Linked DNA regions of Arabidopsis thaliana. The protein of the gene in region 1 interacts with the protein of each later gene in a biochemical or structural test. Each region holds a gene or a part of one and is shown in the gene's direction. Other genes may lie near its edges.

Region 1 (5,696 bases):
ATCTGAAACAATTAATCATGATATTATGGAATTTTTTTTCTTTCAAAATTTGTATAAAGAAAAAGGAATTTTATAGTGGGGGCATTTTAGCATCTCGTCGAAGATATGAATGAATAGAGAATTTTGCAAAGTGTAAAGAAAACAACCGACCAAACCCACTTGTTCTCTCACGTCCTTTTTATGTGTTAAATTGTCATACACAAAAAAAATATTTACAATTATAATTTTTCTAAAGTCTTTAATGTCAAAATTATATGATCTATTTATATCAGTAATACAAATGTAAATCGCTATATTTTATATTTTTGTTAAAAACTAAATACCATAATTTAAAAGAAATATTTTCTTTTTCTTTTTATTTGCGAAGATATTGTTTAGTCGTATGGCATTGTATTAGTTACTTACTTAGTAGTTTTACAGAACGAGGTGAAGAATGTCGGAAAAAAGAAAGAGGTGACGAAGAATTTTGACCAATTTGCTACTTTGTAAGGGAAATATAATACAAAAAAATTGTATTTAGCATCATTACAAACAATTTCTCCATTTTGTTTTAACTTTTACTATCAATTTTATTATTTTTATACGAAACTTATAATTAATAACACGAGGTAAGCCTGTTTTGTTAAATTGAGTATGTCAATTCATTTCATGAGATAATAACCTTCAAATAAAGTTCATAAGATAGTTGCCCCATATCGGTAACTTAGGCTTATAAAACAGTCTTATTATTGGTGATATAAAACAGTACTTAACTACTTATATATAAGTACTTACAACTTATTCTTATTATTGTTGATATAAAACACTAAAGTTGGGTTAAATCTTAATTCCAATTCAGCTGTTTGATGTTGGTTTAAAAGTCTGTTTGCACCTATGATTCTATGATATACCGAACCGATTCGATTAACCAGTAGTTACGAGAAGTTATTTGTTTCAACTAACTATCTATTGATTTGATGTAACTAGTTTGGTCCTCTGCGTATAAAAGGAACATTACAGAAGAGATTAAATGATAGGCAATTGATAATTGAGACGGTTCAAGAAAAGATTTAGCAACCAACAACCTTAACAAATTTTCATTTACGTAACTATAATTATAGATCTTGCTATTTTTCCATTTTATGGCGTCTTCTTATTACGAAACTCATACTATTCAGTCACATAATCTCATTTACTGGACTATAATGGGCTTTATTGTAATGGGCTTTATTGTAAGACATGAGCCCACAAATTTGGAAAGTAATAAGCTTCAGCTCAGCTAAAGAGAGTCTAAAAACCAAAGGGAAAAATGTCATTAAAATCCCCAACTTATTGAAAAAGTTGATTTAAATCCTCAACTTCCAACGAAACGAAATAAATATCAAACTTTTGTTGATTTTCCAAATAAATACCAAATTTTGGTTGACTTTCCAAATAAATATCAAACTTTTGTTCGAGTAGCCATATTAAGTATGACATTAACAGACCCTGTTATTAGAGTCCATTTTTTGTTAACAGACTCGTTAATTGAAAACGACAATATTCCCTATAACAATAAAACAACGTCGTTATGTCATAAATGCTCAATTAAATCCCAATTTCAAATCATATGAAGATTTAGGGTTAGAATTTTGCTTGATTTGGAGATTTAAGATTGGATTTGGGAATTTAATTCGGTCGTTATAATAAAACGAGGTCGCTTTCTTGTTATAGGAAACAATAACGTTTTAAATTAACGGATCTGTTAACAGAAAATTAACTCCGTGAACGCAATATGTTAATCTACTTAATATTATACCTAATATGACCATATATACGAAAGTTTGGTATTTATTTGGAAAGTCAACAAAAATTTGATATTTATTTCGTTTAGTTGGAAGTTGATAATTTAAATCAACTTTTTCAATAAGTTGGAGATTTTAATGACATTTTTCCCAAAAATCAAGGGGAGTTTTATGGTTTTATCTACTTGACCCGACAGAGAAATCCGGACCCGGATAAAATCCGACCCGTTCGAATGAACTCATACGGCCGAGATTTTTCCACCAAACTCGACGGTTACCACTCGTTTCTTTGTCCACCATCTTCTCTCTCTCTCTCTCTCAACCCCCGAAAATCTCCTTTTCCCAAAATTTTCCGATTATCTCACGCCGGATTGTTTTTCAATCGCCGTCTTCATAATCTCCGGCGACTGAAATCAGTCTGGTAACTATTTGAATTTTCATGGAGTGGGACAGTGGTTCCGATCTAAGCGCCGATGATGCTTCGTCACTGGCGGATGATGAAGAGGGAGGTCTTTTTCCCGGAGGTGGACCAATTCCATATCCCGTTGGGAATTTGCTTCACACGGCGCCTTGTGGATTCGTTGTTACTGATGCCGTTGAGCCGGACCAACCTATTATATATGTCAACACCGTCTTCGAAATGGTTACAGGGTATCGTGCTGAGGAAGTTCTCGGAGGAAATTGGTTAGTTGTTTTTTTGTTATCTTTGTGATTAGTGTTCTAATTGATGCGAGGAATTTCTATTTTTGGTTATTGGCTCACTTTACCAAATTTTGGCTACTTGGTGGAGTTTGATTAAGGTCCGTTTAGTTTGAGGATAGGTGAGGAATGTTTGTGATGATGGTAATCTGAAGGACACTCTATTGATCACTAGATTTAGTATGGATGGATACTTTGGTGGAGAGAAAACAAAGATATGTCTATTGTTAGATAATCATTAGAGTCTCTGCCAAATGGCAGAGAAGACTCAGTGGAGTCTCTGTGTGTGCCTAAGTATTCTCTGCCTTCAGATGTTTATTCAGTGATTGTAGTTTTCATATTAATCGAGCTCTCATGGCTGTTTTTGAGCTGTTTCAGCTGCTCCGCATGTTAAGGAAACTTGAAAGTGTATATAGATGCCGAGATAAAGCGAGCTATCCCTGTGTAGTTTCTCGGGGTCGTAGCGAACACAATAAATTCTTTACAATGTTGATGTGCAGTGAACCAGTGAAAAGGCTAAGTCCAATGCGTTTAGTTGTGTGTTAGTTTTCCATGAGAGAAGTGCTAGTAGCTTCCTTTATTAATAAGCTTTGATCTTACAGGAGGAGCTGATCAGTTCAAATAGTTGTTATTCTTGAACAGAATGAAAATCTGGTTAGGTTATAATTATGCTTGTTTGGTGTATTTGTTTTTTTTTTCAGTCTCTACATGCACGGCCAAATATTTTGTCTATTGCTTTTCCGCATCAGTAAGTTGGAGATAAATTTTGTTTTTGGTCTTATATTGTTTCTTAATTAATTTCTCGGATTCTGCAGCCGCTTCTTGCAATGTAGAGGACCGTTTGCTAAAAGAAGGCATCCATTAGTTGACTCTATGGTTGTTTCCGAGATAAGAAAATGTATTGATGAGGGCATTGAATTTCAAGGCGAGTTGTTGAACTTTAGGAAAGATGGATCTCCGTTGATGAATAGATTGCGGTTGACTCCTATTTATGGAGACGATGATACTATTACCCATATAATTGGAATCCAGTTCTTTATCGAGACAGACATTGACCTTGGACCTGTTCTTGGATCTTCAACAAAAGAAAAGTCAATTGATGGGATATACTCAGCTTTAGCTGCTGGGGAGCGGAATGTTTCCCGAGGAATGTGTGGGTTATTCCAGCTGAGTGACGAGGTTGTGTCTATGAAGATATTGTCACGCCTGACACCAAGAGACGTTGCATCTGTTAGCTCTGTGTGCCGCAGGCTATATGTGCTGACAAAGAATGAGGATCTTTGGCGAAGGGTTTGTCAGAATGCATGGGGAAGTGAAACAACACGGGTATTAGAGACTGTTCCTGGTGCTAAAAGACTCGGTTGGGGCCGCTTGGCTAGAGAACTGACCACCCTTGAAGCTGCAGCTTGGAGAAAACTTTCGGTTGGAGGTTCTGTTGAGCCTTCTCGCTGTAATTTTAGTGCTTGTGCTGTCGGGAACAGAGTTGTTCTGTTTGGAGGAGAAGGTGTGAATATGCAGCCTATGAATGATACCTTTGTTTTAGATCTGAATTCTGATTACCCTGAATGGCAACATGTCAAAGTGAGCTCCCCTCCTCCAGGACGCTGGGGCCACACGCTCACTTGTGTAAATGGCTCCAATCTGGTTGTATTTGGTGGCTGTGGTCAGCAAGGTTTGCTGAACGATGTGTTTGTCTTGAATCTCGATGCTAAGCCGCCTACTTGGAGGGAAATTTCGGGTTTGGCTCCGCCTCTACCAAGATCATGGCACAGCTCATGCACCCTTGACGGAACCAAACTGATAGTCTCTGGAGGCTGTGCAGATTCCGGCGTTCTTCTAAGTGACACGTTCCTCCTCGACCTTTCAATAGAGAAACCAGTGTGGAGAGAGATTCCAGCTGCCTGGACTCCGCCTTCCCGGTTAGGCCACACACTATCGGTTTATGGAGGAAGAAAGATCTTGATGTTTGGTGGTCTTGCTAAGAGCGGGCCTTTGAAATTCCGTTCGAGTGATGTCTTCACAATGGATCTAAGCGAAGAGGAGCCTTGTTGGAGGTGTGTGACCGGTAGCGGAATGCCTGGAGCAGGAAACCCAGGAGGAGTAGCACCACCACCAAGGCTAGATCACGTTGCAGTTAACCTCCCTGGAGGCAGAATCTTGATATTTGGCGGCTCAGTGGCAGGGCTTCACTCAGCGTCTCAGCTTTATCTACTTGACCCAACGGAGGACAAACCGACTTGGAGAATACTAAACATTCCAGGAAGACCGCCTCGGTTTGCTTGGGGACATGGCACTTGTGTTGTGGGAGGAACACGAGCGATAGTGCTAGGTGGTCAGACCGGAGAAGAATGGATGCTAAGTGAGCTACACGAATTATCACTAGCGAGCTATCTCACGTAACCAAAGAGAGCCTATGTATGAAAGAGAACCCAGCCATAGAAGAAGATGAAAAAGGGTTCTCGGTTAGGATACTGGAGCTTTAGGGGAGAGCGACTCAGTGGTGGGACTTTGGTACTGCTCATATTTTTTAAGTCCTTCTTCTTCTTTCTTCCTCATTAGGAGGACTTTTAGTGCTTATATAATATATATAGTGAAAATGTCATCTCTCTCTTTCTCTCTGTAGTGCTTGTTTCTGTTGTTCTCTTTGAAGTTTGAGAAGTGCATTTGTGTTCATATTCTGTAAATTTTATTTATGATTACAAACTTTAATAAGATCCTTTCTCTTCTTATGCTATTGGACCACTATTTTCATTTCCAATTTCATACTTTTAGTTCGGAGACAAAATGAGATTATTATTATTTTTCCATTGAGTATGATGAATATAAGAAAATTGGAAAAATAGAGGATAAAACCCCAAATTTTCATTTTAATAGAAAAAATTGGGGAAGAAAATTTACAGTGTTGAAATTGGTTAAACCCTGACACTAGCACCTTCCTCAGTCGCATCACCACCATGTCAGAGCGCGACCGCCGCGAACGAGAGAGGGATAAGGACCGTGAACCAGACCGTGATAGACGCCGAGGTAGAGACGACCGTGACCGTGACCGTGATCGAGACCGGGAAAGAGATAGAGAGCGCGACCGTGACCGAGGGCTTAGAAACAAAAAATCCCGATCTCGTACTCCAGACCACCACGCTCGTGCTCGCCACGTGCGCTCTCCGGAGAGGTATCGCTCTCGTTCCCGCTCGATTGACCGTGACCGGGACCGGGACCGTCAACGACACCACAGGC
Region 2 (5,773 bases), 1.4 Mb from region 1:
GAAACAGAAACCTGGTTCAAGTTTTCTTCAAGGTCATCTAGACCACCAACTGGAGAAGAAACTATCCGAATAACTTCATGCAACGCCGTTTCCGATCGGTCAACTAAATGGTGAGAGCAAAAGTAACGTGTCAGTTTTGCAGTACTCGTTAGATACGTAAACCTGTTTAATCTGACTGTGGTGGACATCATCTTCTCTGAGGAATTTCATCAAACACTTGATATGCGTATGCTTCTTAAAAGCCGCCAAATATAAACCATAGAAGGGACTCTCTCCTGACTTACATGTTTCTCAGAGTATTTACAACTTCGTTGTAAATTCTTTCAGCAACATGAAATTCAGATTTCTATTAAAAGACCTAAATTTGCAGATTTCATGAGATCGCTCGGCTCAACAACAATATATATTCATTTGTTGGAAACATTGCCCGCGTGTCTGAAAAGGGCATTTTAGTCTTTTACATTCCATCACGCTTCAAATTCAGAACCGGATAAAACCGATAATCGTGAGATACGATGGTTATAACTTATAAGTCACTAACCGGAATGATTACTCTCGAAGGCCGCCGATGCATATTGGAAAATCGAACTCCCGATAAAATAGTTCTGAAATTACACGAATAATTAACATCATAAAGTCATAAACAAGTTATTGGTCAATGGTCGATGGCAAAACGTAATAAAAGTTGGACCGGGACAAAACGTGTCTTACGGTGGATGAAGTTGAGAATATATCATGCATTATTGGTCCACTTGTACTAACGATATTCGCAGCTACTAATATGAGCCAATCGGTAATACGAAATATTTTAGCTTGTCGACTACTTACTTTCTATATAAAAGTTTAGCCTACTAATTATCTCTTTTTATGATTATGACAACTTGATTATTTGTTTCCCAACCACTGATGATGAGATTAACCATCTTTTTTGCTAAGAAGGTAAATATTTCATCTTGCTAATGTCCTGTTTACAAGACAATTTGCACACATACACTTATAACATTAGAAAAAAACACTTGAAACTTTGTTACAACATATCATTTAGCTTGATTTTTCAATCACTTTAAGAAGTTAATGAATCATAATGCCTAAATAAGTCCTCTATAACAACCATGAAAGGAGTGTTATATCTATAACCCTGTGCTTTTAGAAAGAATCATAATTTTTAGGAGTCTTTTGTGATGAGAAATTGAGATGTAATAAAAGTAAAATTTTCTATATCTGTATCTTTCGTTTTTTATTTTTATTTTGTTTGTATCTTTAATTCTTCAGTACCTAAAGATAACAGAAAAATAAAATTCTGATAATAGATTTTCTTGTTGTTATAAATATATTTTAATAAACGAAACGAAGCCGAATCCTAAAATTTGGTTTCTGATGGTTTGGTCTGATCTGGTCATATATTTTAAAAGAATTTGCAATTTTTTCTTTCTGTCGACCTTTTGATATGTTTGTTGATTTTGATATGGAGATGCATCTTCTTATCTTGTATCTTACCACAATAATATCAAAAACAAAAATAAATATCATGAGATATTTTCTCCAAGATGACGTGGCCTTTTCTCTATCTCAACCAAACTATCCAACACAACCTTTTTTTTTATGGCCTGCACTTTTTATTGTCCACGTCATCTCCTTGGCCTAAAATATCCCAAGTCCCACCATTAAGCTACACAACAACGCGTAAGAAAAAGACTTAATCTCCACCGTCCAATTCTATCCTCTTTCAACGGTCTCTGATTTACCATCTCTCTCTCTCTTTTTCGCGTCTCATAATTTGACCATTGATTGACAAAACAAAACAATGAGTCTTCTTTCTCTTCTCACTCTTCTTGTCGGAAATTCACCTTCTCTCTCTCTCCTCCTCATCTCACCGCCGGCGTTACGCCGGATCTCCGGTGACTTTTGTTGAGCTTTTTTGTTGATTCATGATTCGATATAGAGAAAAAAGAATTTCCTATTTCAGCTCTTTGTTCTTAGATTTATCTTTTTGTTTGTTCTTATGGATAAAGGATTAGGTTGGGGGATTAAAAGAGTAGTTTTTGTTTGGTTGTGAGATTACTTGACTTTGTTAAGGGGATAAATTAGGCGACTTTGTAGGGACACTGTACCGAAAAACCCTAGTTCTGATTTGGCCATGGAAGTATCATAGCACTTACTATTGTCGGCTTTACTTCTTCTACTTTTGTATAATCCTTTTTTTTCTTAGGTTCTGTGATTAGATATTTTTTTTGTGTGGGTTTAGTTGTTAATCTGATCATGGATTTGAACGGTGAGTGTAAAGGAGGAGATGGGTTTATTGATAGAAGCAGAGTCAGGATTTTGCTTTGTGACAATGATTCCACGAGTTTGGGAGAGGTTTTTACTCTCCTTTCAGAGTGTTCTTATCAAGGTATGATTTATAGGTTTGTCCTTGTCTTGTTCCCAAAGTTTCTCTTTTTACTTTGTTATTTTTTGCTAAGTTGGGATTACTACTTTAGATTGCAGATCTCTTATAGGTTCTTGTCGTCTGGCTTTTTGAGTCAGTATGGTCAGATGTGATCAAGATGACATTTTTAACCTTTGTTGATTTTAGTACCTTATTGATAGTTTTTGAATGCATCTCTAGTGTGTATTGCTTTCTATTTTTACACTATGCTCAACTGTTTGTTGTTCAAGACTCAATGATGATATATTGGATGAATTGTTTTTATTCTTTTTGGAATGCAGTGACTGCAGTGAAATCAGCAAGGCAGGTGATTGATGCACTTAATGCAGAGGGACCTGATATCGATATAATACTGGCGGAAATTGATCTCCCAATGGCTAAGGGTATGAAGATGCTGAGGTACATCACACGAGACAAAGATCTTCGCAGAATCCCTGTGATAAGTAAGCTGTGTTCTTTGTTGCTCTTCTCGTTTTATTATCTATTCGTGAAGTTGTATCTTCTCTGCTTATCAAAGTGCTTTTGACAGCATGATCATTAGCTTTATACTGACTAATCTTATAATATTCTCAATTTAAGTGATGTCGAGGCAAGACGAAGTCCCTGTCGTTGTAAAGTGCTTGAAGCTAGGTGCAGCTGACTACCTTGTGAAGCCTCTTCGCACCAACGAGCTTCTGAACTTGTGGACACACATGTGGAGAAGAAGACGCATGGTTTGTTTTGCTTGTCTCAAGTTCTCTCTATTTATCTTACTGTTTTTGAGCAATACTTGATAGCCATATCTCTCAATCTGTCGTCTTCTGAAATAAAAGACCTTGATGCATGAAGTTAATGCTATTGATTTCATATATTTGTTTTGGCAGCTAGGACTTGCTGAGAAGAATATGTTGAGCTATGATTTTGATCTTGTGGGATCTGATCAAAGTGATCCAAACACAAATAGTACCAACCTGTTCTCTGACGACACAGATGATAGAAGTCTTAGGTCCACCAACCCACAGAGAGGAAATTTAAGTCACCAGGAAAATGAGGTGAGAAAGTATTTGACAGTTTAAAGCCCTCTGAAAATGGAGAAGAACTGATTTTTTAGCTTGCGCTCATGCTTTTGCTGGTAGTGGTCTGTTGCTACTGCTCCTGTTCATGCTCGTGATGGTGGTCTTGGTGCTGATGGAACAGCCACTTCTTCTCTTGCTGTTACTGCTATAGAGCCTCCATTGGATCATCTTGCTGGGTCTCACCATGAGCCAATGAAAAGAAATAGTAATCCAGGTGATTGTTTCTCTTTGATGTCTCACTTTCTAATAGCTAGTCTCTAAAAGAACCTTTGTTTTAGTGAATTCTAATATAGTAGGGGTTTTGCAGCGCAATTTTCTTCAGCACCGAAGAAAAGTAGATTGAAGATCGGAGAGTCCTCTGCTTTCTTTACATATGTCAAATCTACTGTCCTTAGAACTAACGGTCAGGATCCTCCTCTTGTCGATGGAAATGGCTCACTTCATCTTCATCGGGGTTTGGCGGAGAAGTTTCAAGTGGTGGCTAGTGAAGGGATCAACAACACCAAACAAGCACGCAGAGCAACACCAAAATCTACTGTCCTTAGAACTAACGGTCAGGATCCTCCTCTTGTCAATGGAAATGGCTCACATCATCTTCATCGGGGTGCGGCGGAAAAGTTTCAAGTGGTGGCTAGTGAAGGGATCAACAACACCAAACAAGCACACAGAAGTAGAGGGACCGAGCAATACCATTCTCAAGGAGAGACCTTGCAGAATGGCGCCAGCTATCCACATTCCCTTGAGCGGTCACGCACGCTTCCCACATCAATGGAATCTCATGGTAGGAACTACCAAGAGGGCAATATGAATATTCCCCAAGTTGCTATGAACAGAAGTAAAGATTCGTCTCAAGTTGATGGATCGGGTTTCTCTGCACCAAATGCCTATCCTTACTATATGCATGGGGTCATGAACCAAGTTATGATGCAATCAGCAGCCATGATGCCTCAATATGGTCATCAAATTCCTCATTGCCAACCAAATCATCCGAATGGAATGACGGGATATCCTTACTACCACCACCCAATGAACACATCTTTGCAGCATAGTCAGATGTCTTTACAGAATGGTCAGATGTCTATGGTTCATCATTCTTGGTCACCGGCAGGAAATCCGCCTTCTAATGAGGTGAGGGTAAATAAACTTGACAGAAGAGAGGAAGCTCTGCTGAAATTCAGACGTAAAAGGAACCAACGTTGTTTTGATAAGAAGATTAGGTATGTGAATAGGAAACGCCTTGCTGAGAGGAGACCCCGCGTTAAGGGTCAGTTTGTTAGGAAGATGAACGGCGTGAATGTTGATTTAAATGGACAGCCTGACTCTGCTGACTATGATGACGAGGAAGAGGAGGAAGAAGAAGAAGAAGAGGAGAACCGGGATTCATCTCCTCAGGATGATGCTTTGGGAACTTGAAGATACACCAAGAACTGAAAACCGTTGTGTTATACGTATTTGCTTGCATCTTATCAAACAACAGAAGATGTTGATCGACTGACACGAAAAAGATGATACTGCTACAGCCAAAAAAACATCGAATATCGAGTTGTCTCTAAGGCAATGTTGGCTCTTGCGGCTCAACTTTTTGACAGAGCATTGAAAAGCTCTCATTGGGTTTAGCTTAGTTCGTTGATAAACATATAATGTATTTTATCATGTTCACTCACATTCTCTCAGTAAGTACTCAGATGTATTAACCTTTCTTCTCCTTCCAGTATCATTTACTTGAATCTTGTTTTTCCCTCGCTCTCTCACCTGTGTTTACATATATAATTATATATAATCGCTCCATGTCTTCCACCACTAAAGCTTCTGTCTTTCCTCGGAAAAACACAATACAAATGCAATTGTGTCACAGACAAGAAGCATATGAAAATCTAAATTTGGATTTAAGTTATCTGAAACTAAGAACATAATCAGCTGTATATCTACTGTCAGGAACAACAGTTCTGTGTTTCTTTCATGACTACATAAATAAATCTCTACAGTCCACTAAACTCTGATTTCTTTAATTCTCTGTGGTGCTATTGAGTAAGGTCCACTAATGTATAACAAGCTTTCTAGCAACTAGACGGATTCCGGCTCTCTGCTGATAATCATATGGCTCCAGAGACAAGAAAGCGTCAAGAACAGTTCTCGGATTCAACAAAGACTCAATCTCTTCAGCCTTGGGGTTGCTAGAAATGAGTTTCTGAGTAGCAGTAGCTCCAGAGAACTCTTTCTGGTGTATCTCAGCTGCGTACCGATCTATATCTCCATTTAACTCTGTGGGTATACTGCACATACAAAGAAA
Region 3 (7,896 bases), on another chromosome or scaffold:
GTAATATTTACTAAATTTATATATCATTAAAGATTTTTTGAATTTAGCAAAAAAAGAAGAAGATATCATTAAAGATTTTTAAATTTAAAGTATAACATAATGAATAAATCAAGTGTTGAGCTTAGTTTCGCGTTGCAAAGATGTTCATTTGATTTTTTTTTTTTTTTTTCCATTTGATTTTTCTTATACTAAATTGATTGATGTCACGGTCCTTCTGTGAAAAAAGTATATTGTACTGTATAAATTTATAATAGTCATACTTGAAGATAACTAATATCATTTTCTAAAGGTTTTGTTGACAATGAAATGGGTAATGATGAACATCTCGTTTGCTAAACCACAAAAGAAATAATTCGTTGGACTATAACTTAAACTTATAATATATCAACTGAAATGCCTACAATTTGAGAATACGCCTTTTCAAAAAGTTTTAGAATTTTATAAAAATTTCTCCACCATAATATTACTTTAATAAAAGCTTGTTATTAAAATGATATATTAACAAAAAAAAAAGAGGTAGGCAAAGTAGCTTTTATTAAAATTAATGTTTTCCCTAATTGGTAAATCATAAACCAAAAAATTGAGGTAATTCTTAATATATTTACTATGATTAGAATGATACATTAATGTAACATTTTATCATCTTCATTAATAATAGTAAGTTCTCCTCAAAATTACAATTTGATATCAAAAAATATATTTGTATTACAAGCAATTACTGAAAAATTAAAATTACAATTTAGCCCAGTTACATAACTCCACGTAAGGTTTGAGCCCATCACATCACATGGTACATGACCAAAGCCCAGTTATGTTACCATGGAGTATTCTTCAGACAAGAGCCATCCAGACAGAAGTGGACCACACAATCACGAATCGTATGGAGATCATTACAATATATTGCTCACATCTTATTGCGCCACGTCTCTTATTTGGCGAGTGATCAACGTCCACAGATCTCTTGCTCCACTCTGATTGGTACACGTCATCATTTTATTGTGCTACTTGTTTATGTGGTACAGTAGAGACAAGTGGTAAGATTTTAAAATATCTTAAAAGATGTGTGAGGCCCATTTAGATATTTTCTCAACGGGCTGTTCCTCAAAAGCTGCCCGTTTATCTACAACCATCGAACGGCTCGAAACTATTCTGGGCTAGCTGCCCGAAATCTCTTAAAGGAATTTGTTGAGTGGGCTTGAATCAACGGTGGATAATTCGAAGGTGTACGTAACATCTCGTAGCATCTGAACTTAGCTCCCCTCAAAATATCTGTGGACATATGTCACTAGCTTTTTTTTTGTGTAATGAAACTATTAATTAATTAGGCAATCACATGAGAGATGTTATATACTTAAATTAATAACTCAATAATACAATCATGACCACCAAACCTTGAAATAAAATAATCTCTCTGATTACTTGTACAAATTCTTTACCAATATATGCCATACTGTGAATGTAATGGTTTATTTTAAAACAGCCAAATATTATTGATATAATTATATGTTTAAGTAGATTTTAAACTTAGCTCATGGTTAAAAATAGACAGAATTTTGGAGTAAATCTGAGTTTACAAAATTTATTTATTAGGATTAAAATTAATTACTTAAATTGGCAAACATTTTTCTTGGTGATTGTAACATACAATATACGAATTTGAATTCGCATTGTGATTCCAAAACAACACTAACATAAACTACCAGTAAAATTTTTTAAAATAAAATTTCATATATATATGCTTAAAAAATGTAACAAAAATATGGTAAATTTTTTAACCATGGTATGGGTGGAGATGTATGTGGGATGATGATGGTTATATGGTAATGGCGCATAAAGGTGGTGGCAAAGGCAAGGAAATATCGATGACACGTAAGCAGACGGGAAATCTTAAACCGAGTGGAGAAGCCTCCAAATCTCTTTTTTCTCTCTCTCTCTCCTAAGGCCACCACAATCTCTTCTTCTGTGTATGTATTCTTTTTTTCTCCGATATTCGTCGATCTCTCAAAAATATCCTCAAAGCCAAAAAAAAGCAAGAGTAGAGATAACCAACCAACAAACTCATAGGAAGACATATTTACTTTCAGGTCTTTCTTCTACTACCTTTTTCGTGGTTTTTGGTTGATTGATTCTCAGATGAGATTTTTTCCCGAATCATTTGATGTCTTTTTTTTTTAAATAAGTTCTTGGTAAATCACTGTTTCTACTAGCATTTTTTGTTTTCTCAGCTTAGATTTGTTGTTTGATTTGACATCTTATCTGATTGAGATTTTGTTCTTCTGAATTGTTGTTACAGGGTTTAGCTGTTTGATTCAGCTTCGATTTAGTGTACAGTGTGTTGATTAGTATAAAAAGGATTTAAAAGAATCTGGGAGATGTGTATAGTGATTGTTCTTGCTGGCGAATGTTAACACTACGTCGTATTGATTCTCGATTGATAGTAGAAGAAAGGTGTTAGTTAGATTGTTCGTTCATCTAGTTGGGGTTTAGTTTCGGTTCCTGGATGGCTAGTTCATCTTCATCTGAGAGATGGATCGATGGTCTTCAGTTCTCTTCCTTGTTATGGCCTCCGCCACGAGATCCTCAACAACATAAGGATCAAGTCGTTGCTTATGTTGAATATTTTGGTCAATTTACATCAGAGCAATTCCCAGATGACATTGCTGAGGTACTTGATACCTAATGAGTTTAATAAGAGTATTCTCTTAGTAGTGACGTTTTGATTCATGTATAATTTATCTGTATCAGTTGGTCCGGCATCAGTATCCATCAACTGAGAAGCGACTTTTAGACGATGTGCTGGGTATGATCAACATTTATGATCCACACTTCTCTTTTTGTGTGTGAATGTCTATCTGATTTTCGTTTTCTGATGAAACAGCGATGTTTGTCCTTCATCATCCGGAGCATGGTCATGCAGTCATTCTTCCAATCATTTCATGTCTTATTGATGGCTCGTTGGTGTACAGCAAGGAAGCTCATCCGTTTGCCTCTTTCATATCTTTAGTTTGCCCAAGTAGTGAGGTATATAATAGCTGTCTAGTATCATGCTTACTGATTTGGTGTAACCTATACCATTTTGTGCTAACATGTTCACTATCCTAACAGAATGACTATTCGGAGCAATGGGCTTTGGCATGTGGAGAAATCCTTCGCATTTTGACTCATTACAACCGTCCCATTTATAAAACTGAGCAGCAAAATGGAGATACAGAGAGAAATTGTCTGAGCAAAGCTACAACTAGTGGTTCTCCGACTTCAGAGCCTAAGGCTGGATCACCAACACAGCATGAAAGGAAACCTTTAAGGCCTTTGTCTCCATGGATCAGTGATATACTACTTGCTGCTCCTCTTGGTATAAGAAGTGACTATTTCCGATGGTAAGTAGACTCTGTTACTGATGCTTCTATGTGTTCATGCGCCGGCCTCCTTCTTTTATTTTGGTCTCTCTGCTGAGGTCTATGTATTGAGGTTCTGTAGTGGATTAAGCTTACTGACAACTAAAAATGTTGCTTATTATTTACAGGTGTAGTGGTGTAATGGGTAAATATGCTGCTGGAGAGCTCAAGCCGCCAACCATTGGTGAGTTCAAGAATTCCATGTTAATATCCCCTGGAACTGGATTTTGATGATAATTCTGATCAATAGAGTTGTTCTATCACTTCGTTCATAAATGTGTATCCATCACCTGTGGCTATAGAATGTGTTTTGAGTTGCTTCCTATAACTTTCATGTTGTCCTACTTTGGCAGCTTCTCGAGGATCTGGTAAACATCCTCAACTGATGCCTTCAACCCCAAGATGGGCTGTTGCTAATGGAGCTGGTGTCATACTGAGTGTTTGTGATGATGAAGTTGCTCGATATGAGACTGCTACGCTGACAGCGGTCGCTGTCCCTGCACTTCTTCTTCCTCCGCCAACGACATCCTTAGATGAGCATCTAGTTGCTGGCCTTCCAGCTCTTGAACCATATGCACGTTTGTTTCATAGGTATTGTTTCTGGGCTTACCCTTTCAATTAGGGTTTATTGGTAGTAGTCTGTTGCTAGTTTTAAGGTTGTGCTTCCTCGAATCCCTAGATCAGAATTGTTTTCTCACTTTCCTGTTATACTGTCAGATACTATGCCATTGCAACTCCAAGTGCTACGCAGAGACTTCTTCTTGGACTCTTAGAAGCACCACCGTCGTGGGCTCCAGATGCACTTGATGCTGCTGTACAGCTTGTGGAACTCCTTCGAGCTGCTGAAGATTATGCATCTGGTGTAAGGGTAAGCGTAATATGAATCTCTTAATTACCCTCCAGAAAGCTAATTGTGTCCCTTGTTATAAAAAAAGTCAGCTTTGGTATGTCATCAAAGAAATCAGCTTTGATCACATTCTTTTTCTTGGTGCAGCTACCCAGGAACTGGATGCATTTGCACTTCTTGCGGGCTATAGGAATTGCTATGTCTATGAGGGCAGGTGTTGCTGCTGATGCTGCAGCCGCTTTGCTTTTCCGCATACTCTCACAGCCGGCACTGCTTTTTCCTCCGCTAAGTCAAGTTGAGGGAGTAGAAATTCAGCACGCGCCTATTGGTGGCTACAGTTCAAATTACAGAAAACAGGCATGGTTCCTCTTTATATTTTTCTGCTATTCCATCTCTGATATGCGATTGGCATTCTACTAGAAAATTATATTGAAACTGACTCATTTCATCTCAACAGATAGAAGTTCCTGCAGCAGAAGCAACCATTGAAGCCACTGCCCAAGGAATTGCCTCAATGCTTTGTGCTCATGGTCCTGAAGTTGAGTGGAGAATTTGCACTATATGGGAAGCTGCTTATGGTTTGATCCCTTTAAATTCTTCGGCGGTTGATCTTCCCGAAATCATAGTTGCTACCCCACTGCAACCTCCTATCTTGTCATGGAATTTATACATTCCACTCCTCAAAGTACTTGAATATCTTCCACGGGGGAGTCCTTCGGAAGCATGCTTGATGAAAATATTTGTTGCCACTGTGGAAACAATACTCAGTAGAACTTTTCCGCCTGAATCTTCCAGGGAACTAACCAGAAAAGCTAGATCGAGTTTTACCACAAGATCAGCGACCAAAAATCTTGCTATGTCTGAGCTTCGTGCTATGGTCCATGCTCTCTTTTTAGAATCATGCGCTGGTGTGGAATTAGCTTCACGCCTACTTTTTGTTGTGTTGACTGTATGTGTTAGCCATGAAGCACAGTCTAGTGGTAGCAAGAGACCGAGAAGTGAATATGCTAGTACTACTGAAAATATTGAGGCGAATCAACCTGTATCTAACAATCAAACTGCTAACCGTAAAAGTAGGAATGTCAAGGGACAGGGACCTGTGGCAGCATTTGATTCATACGTTCTTGCTGCTGTTTGTGCTCTTGCCTGTGAGGTTCAGCTGTATCCTATGATCTCTGGTGGGGGGAACTTTTCCAATTCTGCCGTGGCTGGAACTATTACAAAGCCTGTAAAGATAAATGGGTCATCTAAAGAGTATGGAGCTGGGATTGACTCGGCAATTAGTCATACGCGCCGAATTTTGGCAATCCTAGAGGCACTCTTTTCATTAAAACCATCTTCTGTGGGGACTCCATGGAGTTACAGTTCTAGTGAGATAGTTGCTGCGGCCATGGTTGCAGCTCATATTTCCGAACTGTTCAGACGTTCAAAGGCCTTGACGCATGCATTGTCTGGGTTGATGAGATGTAAGTGGGATAAGGAAATTCATAAAAGAGCATCATCATTATATAACCTCATAGATGTTCACAGCAAAGTTGTTGCCTCCATTGTTGACAAAGCTGAACCCTTGGAAGCCTACCTTAAGAATACACCGGTTCAGAAGGATTCTGTGACCTGTTTAAACTGGAAACAAGAGAACACATGTGCAAGCACCACATGCTTTGATACAGCGGTGACATCCGCCTCAAGGACTGAAATGAATCCAAGAGGAAACCATAAGTATGCTAGACATTCAGATGAAGGCTCAGGGAGACCCTCAGAGAAGGGTATCAAAGATTTCCTCTTGGATGCTTCTGATCTTGCGAATTTCCTCACAGCTGATAGACTCGCAGGGTTCTATTGTGGTACACAAAAGCTTTTGAGGTCAGTGCTTGCAGAGAAACCGGAGCTGTCTTTCTCCGTTGTTTCACTGTTATGGCACAAACTGATTGCTGCTCCTGAAATCCAGCCCACCGCAGAAAGCACCTCTGCGCAACAAGGATGGAGACAGGTAAACCTCAGCACTTCTATTTCCCAGCTCGCTTACAGTTTCCTTGGTAGTTCTTTACTAATCCAATTAAGTCGCTCGACTTCATACACTGATCATATTTTTTATATATCAGGTTGTTGATGCGCTATGCAATGTCGTATCTGCAACGCCAGCGAAAGCAGCAGCAGCAGTTGTCCTTCAGGTCCAAATTACTCTTTGACTTTTTATTTCATTTGTCAGGAATGCAACACCTGTGTAAAGATTAAACTGCGGAAAACCTATGGCCTGTGTTAATGTTTTATAATGCTTGGTTCACTCATTTGATCTCTCATGAATTTATAAAAATTAAGCTTGGAATTTATATGCAACACTTGTTTTAATATGCCAAGGATAGGAAATAAGGAAGAAAAAATCTGTGTAAAATAATGGCTTGTTTCAAGCTCATATGTTGAAGGATTTACTCTAATGCTCTATTGTCTGAAATGGTCTTGTGTTATTTACAGGCTGAAAGGGAGTTGCAGCCTTGGATCGCCAAAGATGATGAAGAAGGCCAAAAAATGTGGAAAATCAACCAACGGATAGTCAAAGTGTTGGTGGAACTCATGCGCAATCATGACAGGCCTGAGTCACTGGTGATTCTCGCAAGTGCATCAGATCTTCTTCTGCGGGCAACTGATGGAATGCTTGTTGATGGAGAAGCTTGTACATTACCTCAACTTGAGGTACTGCACTGTTATAGATTGCTCTTCAATGCCCTTCTTCGGGCTAGAGTAATAATCATTTTCTGATTCCACTGTATTTTAAACTTTTGCAGCTACTTGAAGCCACGGCAAGAGCAATACAGCCGGTGCTAGCTTGGGGGCCATCTGGACTAGCAGTGGTCGACGGTTTATCCAATCTATTGAAGGTAAAAGCAGAATCGAACAGAGCCTATGGTTTCCTGCGTCGATTGTAGATGATCAGTAGTAGGTCCAGTTACCAAAGTGCTTAACCTTGTTCACATCTTTTTGCTTCTATGCAGTGTCGTCTACCAGCAACAATACGGTGCCTTTCACACCCAAGTGCACACGTACGTGCCTTAAGCACGTCAGTACTACGTGATATCATGAACCAAAGCTCCATACCCATCAAAGTAACTCCAAAACTGCCAACAACAGAGAAGAACGGAATGAATAGTCCGTCCTATCGATTCTTCAACGCCGCCTCAATAGACTGGAAAGCCGATATCCAAAACTGTTTAAACTGGGAAGCTCACAGCTTGCTCTCCACAACTATGCCTACTCAGTTTCTCGACACTGCGGCTCGGGAACTCGGCTGTACTATATCCTTGTCCCAATAACGAGCACCCACTTTTGTTTTTGGTAAATTTTAGTTCTCTAGACAAAACATTTGGACGTAGACCAAGAAGAATATATATATAGTTTGTTGTATGTAATGTTGTAATGATGAGTGACTGACGCAATCACTCCCACCGGCGTTGGATTTGCTCTCGCTCGGTGTCTTATATAACTCAACCTCTTCTCTGTACATTTTAAATGACGAAGTAGCTCAATCTTTTTTTTTGTGCGTCTGGTGTTTAGTCTTCAGTGGATTCTAAATCGTAATGTATAGAAGTGAAAAATTTACAAATTTACTTATTTCCGAATACTCTTAAAACAGCAAAAATTAATATTGCAAAAGATAAT
Region 4 (3,443 bases), on another chromosome or scaffold:
AAGAGAGAATAAAATCCACAGCATTATATAAATATTGTAGCCCTGGGAGTTCGGATATATCGGTTTAATCGGTTCGGTTTATTTAGTTTTTCGGGGTTTTTGGATTTTTTAATTTCTAGCCGAATTGAACCGAACAAAAATTCGGTTCGGGTCGGTTCGGACATCGGTTTTTTCGGTTCGGTTATTGGGTATAAATTAAATTCCGGATTAAACCGATTTTTTTTCTAATTCGGTTAATTTGAACCAAATAAACCACAAATTAAAAAAATGGACTTACAAAAATGAAATCTAATAAAAAACAAACAACAGGCCCAATACACAAATATACAGTTACAATTACAAATCCACAACACAATTATGGGTCAGGTCCATTACAAAATTAGGGTTTTGAGTTTTGACAAAAAAAATATGTACGACTACAACTCCAAACTGCGACGTCGAGCAGTGCCTCTCCAATCTAGTGATCTACCATTCCGACGACGTAATGCCCTACGAGACCTGTTAAACGCCCGTTTGTTATCCATGAAGTAAGAAAAAACATGAGATGGAAGTGTAAACCATAAAAGATCCATAAAAATAATGGATAATCTCAGATTTGGAAGTGTAAAGCCTAACTCTAAAATTTCAGAAATTATAGAGACAGAGGAAGAGCTTAGAGAGCAAAGAATCAAACAAAACAAATGATTAAAGAGAAATAAGAAGAGTTTACCCTAAGAAAGTTGAGGTTGTGGGTTGAATCTCTGAGCAAAGGTTTTTTGTAAGACCAACTGAGATTAGAGAGAATGAAAGAGGCTTGGAAGATGATGAATTCATGAAGGAGAAGAGACGAGTTGATGATTACTAATTCAATCGAAGAAAAATATCAAAGTTTCTTTGTTGTTTTCGCAAGAGGCAGAGAGCCAAAAACGAAGAAGAAACCTAATTAGGTTAAGACTCATCAATTAACCTTATATATGGCTGCAGATTCTCGGTATGGGTGAAACCGATTGGTTCCGATTACCGAACCGACCCGAACCGACTTCCGAATTCTTAAATTAATTTGGCCGATCGGTTCGATCTCCTTAATTCGGTTGCTGCCGAAAACCAAAATTTTCGTTTTTTTCGGTTCGGTTTTCTCGGGTTGAACCGTTATCCCAGGCCTAAAATATTGTATGACTCTTGACCAAAAACTAGTTAGATATATTATTTATTATGACATATTAATATTAACTTAATATAAAATAAAAATAAATGTTCAAAAAACATGATCTTAAAGCTGACAAAGCTGATTTGATTGACTAATACTTATCCTACGGTGATTTTTGGTTCTTTTACTTTTTTTGACAATTATGGAGCTGGATGGAAAAAAAATATATATAAAATCATATATTATTAATAATGAGATAAATACAACGAATTAAACGGATCAAAGTTAATATTTCCAAAAGAAAAATAGAACAGAGTCCTAATTTCATTAATTTCAACTATTGAAAACAAAATTTAAAATCAATAGGATTGATTTCTATTTTTCTTTTAGAAAAACAAAATTTGAAACAATTTCCTAATTTCCCTAAACTTGCGACTTTTTAACAATCGACCGACTTATCAAAATTAGGGATTGTTTTATATATAAAGAGAGACGCATCTCTTTATTTCATTCATCGCTTCTCCAAAATTTTCTTCAAAGAACAAATCTCCCAAATCTAAAATCTTTCTCTTCTCTCTTCGTTTCCATAACCATGTCTGCGAAGAAGATTGTGTTGAAGAGTTCCGATGGTGAATCTTTCGAGGTTGAGGAGGCGGTGGCTCTCGAGTCACAAACCATAGCGCATATGGTTGAAGACGACTGCGTCGACAACGGAGTCCCTCTTCCTAACGTCACGAGCAAGATCCTCGCCAAGGTGATCGAGTATTGCAAGAGGCACGTCGAGGCTGCTGCCTCTAAGGCCGAGGCCGTCGAGGGTGCTGCTACCTCCGATGACGATCTTAAGGCCTGGGACGCTGATTTTATGAAGATCGATCAAGCTACTCTCTTTGAACTCATTCTGGTATGTTTCTTCTCTCGATCTGATTTGATTTTTCCATCGAATTTTGAATTTTGGGATTCTAGGGTTTTCGATTTGGGAAAATTAGGGTTTCGAAATTTAGGTGTTTGTTTCAGAAATTGAATCTGCTTGAGATTGATATTGTTAGGGTTCTTATGGAACCAATCATTAATTGAATCTATCGATTTGGATTATAATCATATCTGTGTTTTTGGATTCGGATTTTGATCTAATGGTTATGAATTTGGGATCTTGTGCAGGCTGCTAATTACCTGAATATCAAGAACTTGCTTGATCTAACATGTCAGACAGTTGCGGATATGATCAAAGGAAAGACTCCAGAAGAGATCCGCACAACGTTCAACATTAAGAACGACTTCACACCAGAGGAAGAGGAAGAGGTTCGCAGAGAGAACCAATGGGCTTTTGAATGATTGATCTTCAGAGAGAAGAATCAAAAGCAGCAAGCAACCAGTTTCTTCTTCCTTATGTTTATTGCCGTTTTCAAGTGTTGTTGATGACTTGCTTTTTAATATTCTTCATGAATCATGACTATCTTCTTCCTCTTCTTTCTTTCTTATCAAGAACCAATGTTTCTTACTCTTTGTGGGATGGATAATTTGTGCTTTTAGATAATCTTCAAGAGTGATGTTGGTTTGTCTTACAAAATAACTTCTTTCAATTGTCTTGCCAATCGCCACAGAATGCTAATTTGCACGATTCATTTTAGGAATGTTCATGTGTAAATAAAAAGAAACTGAATTTGGCAGAGTCTGCAAGCAGAATGTGAAGGATCATGACGACTACTCATTGAAACCAATGGTCACCAGTTATGCCCTGCTCCTGCTCATCTACTTACATAAATATCTGCATCACGTATTTGTATCTTGTCAACATCTTCTCAAATACTAACATAATCAGCATCACCCATTCGTCAACATTCGATAACATGTGGGCTTTGTTTGCATATAAGAAAACAAAGTTTCCACTCAACCGAACGTGGATCACATGTACATCAATATAATTACTTTAATTGTTTGTCTGGCTAGTCAAGTGGTCTCTCGTCTCGTCATTGTGTATCTTATCTTTACTATGAGACTGAAAGAGATATCTTCTTTATATACAGTAACACTCACATTGTGGTCACTCGAAAAGAGCTAAAGAAAATGGAAGATTTGAAGCCAAGTGCCGCTAACTCGTTACCATTGACACTGTTAGGCTTTCTTGAGAGAGCAGCCACCGTGTATGGAGACTGTACCTCCATCGTTTACGGCAATTCCACCGTGTACACATGGCGAGAAACGAATCACCGTTGCCTCTGCGTCGCGTCTGCTCTGTCTTCCATTGGAATAGGAAGATCCGACGTTGTCTCTGTCCTATCTGCTAATACTCCGGAAATGTACGAGCTCCAGTTTTCCG

What was found.
Region 2: the proteins of ZTL (region 1) and TOC1 form a complex in vitro, tested with the Arabidopsis thaliana proteins (2 studies listed by BioGRID).
Region 3: the proteins of ZTL (region 1) and GI form a complex in vitro, tested with the Arabidopsis thaliana proteins (one study listed by BioGRID).
Region 4: the proteins of ZTL (region 1) and SKP1 form a complex in vitro, tested with the Arabidopsis thaliana proteins (one study listed by BioGRID).

What each region holds. Positions count from the first base shown.
Region 1 is NC_003076.8:23,239,395-23,245,090, forward strand, and holds ZTL (Galactose oxidase/kelch repeat superfamily protein), read left to right. Parts: upstream 1-2,032; 5' UTR 2,033-2,202; coding exon 2,203-2,447; intron 2,448-3,277; coding exon 3,278-4,821; coding exon of another isoform or gene 4,822-4,862; exon of another isoform or gene 4,863-4,929; coding exon 4,930-5,021; 3' UTR 5,022-5,196; downstream 5,197-5,696. Other genes in the region: AT5G57370 (U4/U6.U5 small nuclear ribonucleoprotein), read left to right, coding at 5,417-5,696. UniProt on the Arabidopsis thaliana protein: Component of an E3 ubiquitin ligase complex that plays a central role in blue light-dependent circadian cycles.
Region 2 is NC_003076.8:24,673,281-24,679,053, forward strand, and holds TOC1 (CCT motif -containing response regulator protein), read left to right. Parts: upstream 1-1,682; 5' UTR 1,683-2,259; coding exon 2,260-2,392; intron 2,393-2,709; coding exon 2,710-2,871; intron 2,872-3,007; coding exon 3,008-3,141; intron 3,142-3,291; coding exon 3,292-3,459; intron 3,460-3,543; coding exon 3,544-3,697; intron 3,698-3,790; coding exon 3,791-4,896; 3' UTR 4,897-5,270; downstream 5,271-5,773. Other genes in the region: AT5G61370 (Pentatricopeptide repeat (PPR) superfamily protein), read right to left, coding at 1-191; AT5G61390 (Polynucleotidyl transferase, ribonuclease H-like superfamily protein), read right to left, coding at 5,522-5,756. UniProt on the Arabidopsis thaliana protein: Controls photoperiodic flowering response. Component of the circadian clock. Expression of several members of the ARR-like family is controlled by circadian rhythm.
Region 3 is NC_003070.9:8,059,898-8,067,793, forward strand, and holds GI (gigantea protein (GI)), read left to right. Parts: upstream 1-1,853; 5' UTR 1,854-2,084; intron 2,085-2,293; 5' UTR 2,294-2,500; coding exon 2,501-2,665; intron 2,666-2,745; coding exon 2,746-2,800; intron 2,801-2,878; coding exon 2,879-3,021; intron 3,022-3,105; coding exon 3,106-3,377; intron 3,378-3,523; coding exon 3,524-3,579; intron 3,580-3,748; coding exon 3,749-3,986; intron 3,987-4,112; coding exon 4,113-4,263; intron 4,264-4,389; coding exon 4,390-4,599; intron 4,600-4,699; coding exon 4,700-6,232; intron 6,233-6,344; coding exon 6,345-6,413; intron 6,414-6,714; coding exon 6,715-6,933; intron 6,934-7,025; coding exon 7,026-7,118; intron 7,119-7,232; coding exon 7,233-7,550; 3' UTR 7,551-7,893; downstream 7,894-7,896. UniProt on the Arabidopsis thaliana protein: Involved in regulation of circadian rhythm and photoperiodic flowering. May play a role in maintenance of circadian amplitude and period length. Is involved in phytochrome B signaling. Stabilizes ADO3 and the circadian photoreceptor ADO1/ZTL.
Region 4 is NC_003070.9:28,514,997-28,518,439, forward strand, and holds SKP1 (S phase kinase-associated protein 1), read left to right. Parts: upstream 1-1,522; 5' UTR 1,523-1,718; coding exon 1,719-2,027; intron 2,028-2,284; coding exon 2,285-2,458; 3' UTR 2,459-2,900; downstream 2,901-3,443. Other genes in the region: AT1G75945 (uncharacterized protein), read right to left, coding at 417-498, 710-813; AT1G75960 (AMP-dependent synthetase and ligase family protein), read left to right, coding at 3,191-3,443. UniProt on the Arabidopsis thaliana protein: Involved in ubiquitination and subsequent proteasomal degradation of target proteins. Together with CUL1, RBX1 and a F-box protein, it forms a SCF E3 ubiquitin ligase complex. The functional specificity of this complex depends on the type of F-box protein.